Linked DNA regions of Macaca mulatta. The protein of the gene in region 1 interacts with the protein of each later gene in a biochemical or structural test. Links are inferred from orthologs where the notes say so. Each region holds a gene or a part of one and is shown in the gene's direction. Other genes may lie near its edges.

Region 1 (3,803 bases):
CCCCAGTCCCACCCCACAGGGCAGGTGTCTGCAGGTGAGGCGGGCACAGGTCCCCGTGAAGCCTCCCCCAGCCCCACCCCACAGGGCAGGTGTCTGCAGGTGAGGTGGGTGCAGGTTCCCATGAAGCCTCCCCCAGCCCCACCCCACAGGGCAGGTGTAAGCAGGTAAGGTGGGCGCAGGTGGCTCCATCCCCACCCCCACTCCACAGATCGGGCGTCCTGGGGGCCCCCTTCTGCAGGAGGTGGGGAGATTTGGGATTGGAACCCAGAAACCCTCGGCAAGCCCTCCCCCGTGCTCCTGAGCCAGGGCACCAGCGATGCCAGCCTGTACTCTACACTCTCTGGCCATGGAGGACCCAAGGCAGGGGACTGGTGGGCAGGAGGACCCCCTCACCAGAGGATAGAGGCCCATGTCAGGGGCACAAGGAGTCCCCACTGGGCGTGCCCATGGCCTTGAGTAGGTCACTTTCTCTGCCTGACCTTCCTTGACCCTCGGAGCTGGCTTCTTTCTGTCCTTGGGGACCCAAGGCTATCAGGCTGGCAGCCCTGGGGCATGAGAGGCCAGAGAGCCTCCTGGGACAGGTGACTGCTTCTGGCAGCCTGGGCCCCATAGGCCTCCCTTCGGGAGTGCACACCCCCTGCCAGGCGTGGGCACCCCACCTCAGGGAGAAGCTGGGGACAGGTGGACCCAGCGGGGAGGTTCACACGGCATTCAGCCAGGAAGCTTACCCTGGGGCTGGATGGCTCTCCCCCTTTCCTTGCCTGCCTGGCGGAGCTGCTGGGCTGACCTCCCAGGGCTCTGCCCCGTTTGCTCTGGCCACCTCCTCCCCTCTCCAGACTGCTGTGCCAGTCCACGCCCCGGTGGCAGTGGACCTGCAGGTCCCTGCTGCCCCCAGCCTCCTCCCATTTCTCAGGACAGTGATGGTCTCTGTGGTCTTGGTAGTCTCTGGCTGTCCCCGTGCCTCAGTGCCCACCCTGCCCACTATCCTGGGTGTGCAGTCCTGGGGCGGCCTCTTCACGGGACTGTAGGGGTGACTCAGTCGAAACACTTGGCAGGTGTCGCGGGGTGCCCTGCCACAGGTAATCAGACGCTCGGTCCTGTGGCTTCCTCCTCTGGGGAGCAAGACAGCCCATGGCAGGGCCGTCCCTGAGGATGCCTCAGGGGCTCCTGTCTGCCCGCGTCTTGGTGACAGCTTCCACATCTGACAAAACCACTTGTCCCTGAGTTCTCCCACAACCTGGCCGGTCAGTGCACAAACGCAGGCGGCAGCTGGCTGGAGAGAGGGCGGGGCTGTGGCAGGTGGCAGTGCCAAGTCCCCGTTGGCCACCACGTGGGGCATGCAGGAGCAGACACCAGCCACTCACAGGGCACCGGTGTCGCAGCACAGGCCATGTGCATGGCAGCAACACAGCTGCACAGTGAGCCTGCCGAGCCGCTGCATGCTCAGGCCGAGGCCAGGTGTCTGCTTTCCCCTCGGGACATCCTGGGGAGGGAGCCCAGGGCCCCCGCACGTTTTGAGCACATTTAGTACATGGCAGGTCCTCAGTAGGCCTCGAGGAAGGCACAGAGAGTGTGCCATAGGGGTGTTCTCCACCAAGGGCAAGGGGCCTGGAGGACGGGGCGGCCGTCTCACATCACTGTGGGGAGCCTGACCTTGGAGCTCCTCCTGTCCCCAGGTGTGACACTGGCTACATTGGGAAAACCTGTGAGTGCCAGACGCAGGGCCGGAGCAGCCAGGAGCTGGAAGGAAGCTGCCGGAAGGACAACAACTCCGTCATCTGCTCAGGGCTGGGGGACTGCGTCTGCGGGCAGTGTCTGTGCCACACCAGCGACGTCCCCGGCAAGCTGATATACGGGCAGTACTGCGAGTGTGACACCGTCAACTGTGAGCGCTACAACGGCCAGGTCTGCGGCGGCCCGGGTGAGCCCGTGGGTCCCTGCTGGACAACAGCCGTCCTGCGGCACAGACTCGGCGTTGGGGGGTGCATTCTGGAACACGCAACGAGTGGAACAAAAAGGGGGGATCCTGAGGACAGACAGCGCAAGTCTCGCCCGGCCACTGGGCGTCAGCAGGAACTTGGACGACCCTGCACCCCGCCCTGCCTCAGTTTCTGTCTCCATGAGGGCAAGGGGTCCTTGTGGGGAGGGTCCACAGGAGGAACGATCACAGCCCTACCGAGGTCCCATTCATAGCAGGGCAGGGGCAGGCCCAGACTGGCCAGGAGGTGGCCACGTGGCTGACAGGGGCTGGAAGGCCTGGCTAGTGGCCCGGTGCCTTTTGCTCAGGCACATCCCCCAAGCTGGAGGAGGCAGGTGGGCCGGAGGGAGCGACAGCAGTGGGGTTTCGGGCGGGTCTCGGTCCCCAGGCCAAGCAGGAGCTTAGTCGTGCTGCCCCCGTCTTCCAGCAAGGGGGCTTTGCTTCTGCGGGAAGTGCCGCTGCCTCCAGGGCTTCGAAGGCTCAGCGTGCCAGTGCGAGAGGACCACCGAGGGCTGCCTGAACGCACGGCGCGTCGAGTGCAGCGGCCGTGGCCGGTGCCGCTGCAACGTGTGTGAGTGCGAAAGGAATTACCAGCCTCCTTTGTGCCAGGAGTGCCCCGGCTGCCCCTCGCCCTGCGGCGAGCACATGTGAGTGCAGGTGGAGCAGGCAGGGTGGGCAGGGATCCCTGCTCCCCAGCCACCTCTCCAGCAGCCGGGCTCACTCAGGGTCCCCAGTGAGCACCTCTGCACCTCAGGGTTCTCTGCGGGCGCATTTGGACTGAGGAGCCCTCAGCGGCCGCTGCACCCCTGTGCCCCCCTCCCTCCTGTGCGCACCTGCCATGGGCCCTGGGATCAGGCTCCCAGTTCACCCACTGCACCCCGCATCTGCCCCACTCGGGCCCCCTCCTTGGCCTGAGGACACCCCAACCCCACCTGCCCCACCTGGTGGACACACACCCAAGCCCAAGCCCCCGATGCCTGAGCCCCCGCACGCCCTGGCACCCACGCTCACGCCTGGCTCCCCACAGCTCCTGTGCTGAGTGCCTGAAGTTCGACAAAGGCCCTTTCGGGAAGAACTGCAGTGCGGCGTGTCGGCGCCTACAGCTGTCGAACAACCCCGTGAAGGGCAGGACCTGCAAGGAGAGGGACTCAGAGGGCTGCTGGGTGACGTACATGCTGGAGCAGCAGGACGGGTGGGATCACTACATCATCTATGTGGATGAGAGCCGAGGTGAGGCCACTGGGGTGCAGCGGGGACCGGCTCCAGAGCTCCGACTGCGGGGTCTCTGCAGAGGCGAGGGTGGTGCAGAAGCAGGGTCTCACCTCCAGTGGTGTGGGCCTAGCAGGGTGGGTGAGCCATGCGGGATGCCCTTGGTGGCATTGCAAGGAGGCCAGAGGCCAGTTCCCCCAACCCCGAGCAGCCTCCCTTTTCCATCCCCTCCTCACCTGACCCCGCATCAAGCTGGGCAGCAGATGGCCTGTTCCCTGGGGCACCGCTGCTCCACACCGGGCAGGCCCACCAGCATGCCACACTGCCCGGGCCAGGTCATCTCCCACTGGATGCCTCATGGGGCCAGGCTTGGAGTTGCAGGTCCCTAGGGGTGGCCTGAGGTCAGGCTGCTGAGTGAAGCTCCCCTGAGGGGATTGAAAGATCCTGGTGCTCGGCTTTCAGCCCTGGAAGGGCCCAGGGGCACCAGGCACTGCCATCCCCCAACACTCTCTGCTCGTCACTCATTTGGCTCCAGTCGGAACCAGGCCCAGCCCCACGGTGACCTTGGCGGCACTGACCCTGTCTTTTCAGGTCTCATGTTCCACAGGCTCCCGAG
Region 2 (3,903 bases), on another chromosome or scaffold:
GCTGCAAGTGGGACTTGGACCGCGCGGGGGAGCTCGCCGCCCGCGCACCTCGGGCTGGGGCGCGAGTCCGTAGAACCCGCCCGAGGAAGAACCCGTGGCGCAGGATTTTCCCAGGCCGTCTGAGGACCAGGGACGTCCCCAGTCCCACTCTGTGACTTTGCTCAGGCCGTTCCGGGGCGGGAATTCAGTACCCCTCAGCCCCCCAAGAAAAAAATAACCCCGTGGAAATTCCTTGGGAATGACCGAGGCGGGGAAAATATGCGTCTCTGGATGGCCAGTGACTCGCAGCCCCCTTCCCCGATAGGAAGGGCCTGCGCGTCCCAGGCCCCTTCGCTTCCCTTTCTGCTGCGCGACCTCCCTGGCCCCTCTGAGATCTCCACGGCGACGCCGCGCGCGCCCCACAACAGGAAAGCCTTAGGCGGCGCGGCTTGGCGCTTGGAGACTTCAGAGTCCCCAGCCTCGACGTGGTGGATGTCGAGTCTTGGGGTCACACGCACAGGCGGTGGCCAAGCAAACACCCACTCATATTTAATGCACGCGCCTGGGTTGCGGGAGCCTCGCGCGGAGGGCAAGGGTTCGAGCACCCCCTCTCCCTGCCTCACCTCGGAGCCTGGGGGCTGCCTTGTTTCCCAGCTGCAGGAAGGGGTTCGAGCGCCCCTTCTCCCTGCCTCGCCTCGGCGCCTGGGGGCTGCAGCCTCAGTTTCCCAGCGACAGGTAGGGGTTTCGAGCGCCCCCCTCTCCTCCCTCGTCAAGATCCAAGCTAGCCGCCTCAGTTTCCCCGCGGAGCCTGGGACGCCAGCGGAAGGGCTCGGCGCGTGGGGATCACGCAGCTTCCTTCCTTTTTCTGGGAGCTGTAAAGACCCTCCCGCGGCCAAGGCCGAAAGGGGAAGCGAGGAGGCCGCGGGGGTGTGAGTGCCCACGGGTGTAGAGGGAGGACACCGATTTCCCCGGACGTGGTGAGACCGCGCATCGTCACTCCCACGGTTCGCGTTAGCCGGGAGGTGCCTGGCTCTGCTCTGGCCGCTTCTTGAGAAATGCCCGTGTTAGCTGGGTGGGGACGTGACCCTAGGGGGAGGGGCACCCCTCAGTGGAGGGAGCCCGGGGAGGATTCCTGGTCCCCCACCCAGGCAAGGGGCTCATCCACTCGATTAAAGAGGCCTGCGTAAACTGGAGAGAGAGGACTTGAGTTCGGATCCCTTCGCAGCCTGGAGTCTCAGTTTACTGCTTTGTGAAATGGACACAGTAACAGTCCCCACTCTCCGGGGTAGTTGGCAGTATTTAACAGTACTTAATAAACCGCTTAGCGCGGTGTAGACCGTGATTCAAGCTTAGCCTGGCCGGGGAACGGGAGGCGTGTGGACCGGGAGCAGCCCCCGGGGTCATCGCCCCGCCACCGCCGCCCGATTGCTTTAGCTCGGAAATTCCGGAGCTGCAGCGGCCAGAGAGGGAGGACGACCCTGCTCGGCCCTGGCACCCTCTCAGTCCGGAAATACAGCAGCATTTGTTCCGGAGGGGAAGGCGCGAGGTTTCCGGGAAAGCAGCACCGCCCCTTAGCCCCCAGGTGGCTAGCTCTATAAAGGACCTCGCGCCCCACTGCGTCCCACTCGACGCTGAGCTCCTCTGCTACTCAGAGCTGCAACCTCGGCCTCGCTATGGCTCCCAGCGGCCCCCAGCCCGCGCTGCCCATACTCGTGGTCCTGCTCGGGGCTCTGCTCCTAGGTGAGTCAGGGGTGGGGATTGCCATCGGGCCAGCTCCGCAAAACTCCGGGAGGACCGGTTCCCAGGTCAGGTCATGCATACTTAGGTAGCTGTTTATGGGAAGGTGGGCTAGAGACAGCGATTGAAAGGCAACAGTCAGTGGGTTCGAATCCAGACCCTGCATCACCTCCACGTGTGGCCTCGGGCTATACATTGCAGCTTTGAAAAAGGGGGTTGGAGATGGAGGGGAGGGGCAGACCTCATTTTGTTGCCCAGGCCGGTCTTGAACTCCTGGGCTCTTGTGTGAGCCACCGCCTTGCTTGGCTAGATTGGGCCTCTTAAACTTCAGTTTCTCAGCTGTAAAACGGGAAACGTCATAGCAGCCACCTGGCAGGGTATCTTGGCCCAGCACAGCACCTGGCCCCAGGACTCAATCATGATGGTTTGGGAACTTGGCTGTGTGCCAACCCAACAAGGCTTAAGGGACCCCCACCCACTTCAAGATGTATATTCTGTTCCTCATCCTCTCTGCCCCTGGGGAAGTCCAGGGCTGCTTCTACTCAGGGGAATTCCAGAGCTGACTTATCCGTGGCCCAAGGCTGAGAAGTGGGAGGCGCCAGCACACCCTCCCCCAGCTCCAGCCTAGCTAGGACAGAGGGAAGGGGTCAGAGGATCTTTCCGGGTGGTGTAAGTTTGGGGAACCAGGAAGGTGGGAGATTGACAGCTTGGTTAACAGCTCAACAAAGCCTCAGATCCAGGCCAGCGTGGTGGTTCATGCCTGTAATCCTGACACTTTAGGAGGCCCAGACTGGTGAATCACTTAAGGTCAGGAGTTGGAGACCAGCCTGGCCAACATGGTCTCTACTAAAGCCCGTCTCTACTAAAAATACAAAAATTAGCTGGCATGGCGGTGGGCACCCGTGATCCCAGCTACTCGGGAAGCTGAGGCAGGAAAATCCCTTAAACCCAGGAGGCGGAGGTTGCAGTGAGCTGAGATGGTGCCACTGCACTCCAGCCTGGGAGACATAGAGAGATTTGGTCTCAAAAAACAAAGCGTTCTGATCCAGACTCAGACCCAGATCACACTGCTTTCTAACTGAGTAACCATTTCCCTTTATGAAATGGGAATGGTCCCAGAATCTCCCTTGGAAAATATATGGAGTCAATGTTCTCACACCCCCATCCAAGATAGAACAAATCCGAGACAAGAATCTTTGAAGTGGGGCAGTGCTGGGCTCAGACATTTTTTCCCACCTTCGGAGGCAGCAGAATCTGAGGGACCTAATACAAATAGGCCTGCCCTGCCGCCTGCCCTCCCTCCATCCCTCCCTCCCTCCCTCCCTTCCTTCTTTCCTTCCTTCCTTCCTTTTTTTGAGACGGAGTCTCACTCTGTCACCTAGGCTGGAGCGCAGTGGCGCGGTCTGGGCTCACTGCAACCTCTACCTCTCAGGTTCAAGCGATTCTTCTGCCTCAGCCTCCCTGAGTAGCTGGGACTACAGGCGTGTGCCACCACGCCCGGCTAATCACTGTGTTAGCCAGGATGGTCTTGATCTCCTGACCTCGTGATCTGCCCATCTCAGCCTCCCAAAGTGCTGGAATTACATGCATGAGCCACAGTGCCCACCGTGTAAGCCCCTTCTTTCTTTCTTTCTTTCTTTCTTTCTTTCTTTCTTTCTTTCTTTCTTTCTTTCTTTCTTTCTTTCTTTCTTTCTTTCTTTCTTTCTTTTTTTTATTTTGAGATGGAGTCTTGCTCATCCCGCAGGCTGGAGTGCAGTGGCACTATCTCGGCTCACTGCAAGCTTTGCCTCCTGGGTTCACGCCATTCTCCTGTCTCAGCCTCCGGAGTAGCTGGGACTACAGGCGCCCGCCACCACGCCCGGCTAATTTTTTTGTATTTTTAGCAAAGACAGGGTTTCACGGTGTTAGCCAGGATGGCCTTGATCTCCTGACCTCGTGATCCGCCCGCCTCGGCCTCCCAAAGTGCTGGGATTACAGGTGTGAGCCACCACTCCCGGCAGCCCCTTTCTTACCTGCCCTTACCTGCAAGATAGCCAGTTGCTACCTGCCCTGTGCTGAGTTACTTGTATTAGCAAGGAACAGGGTGGCTATACTCACACACCTTACAGATGGGGAAATTGAGGCCCAAAGAGGGGGAAGCTACGTGTCTCAGGGAGTGAGGAGCCAGTCTGATTCCTGGAGGGCTGA

The links.
Region 2: the proteins of ITGB2 (region 1) and ICAM1 form a complex in vitro, tested with the Homo sapiens proteins (4 studies listed by BioGRID). The link is inferred for Macaca mulatta from reciprocal best matches to the Homo sapiens genes ITGB2 and ICAM1.

The regions. Positions count from the first base shown.
Region 1 is NC_133408.1:2,629,395-2,633,197, forward strand, and holds part of ITGB2 (integrin beta-2), read left to right. Parts: intron 1-1,676; coding exon 1,677-1,921; intron 1,922-2,405; coding exon 2,406-2,625; intron 2,626-3,005; coding exon 3,006-3,208; intron 3,209-3,803.
Region 2 is NC_133424.1:10,990,685-10,994,587, forward strand, and holds the start of ICAM1 (intercellular adhesion molecule 1), read left to right. Parts: upstream 1-1,602; 5' UTR 1,603-1,652; coding exon 1,653-1,719; intron 1,720-3,903. UniProt on the Homo sapiens protein: ICAM proteins are ligands for the leukocyte adhesion protein LFA-1 (integrin alpha-L/beta-2).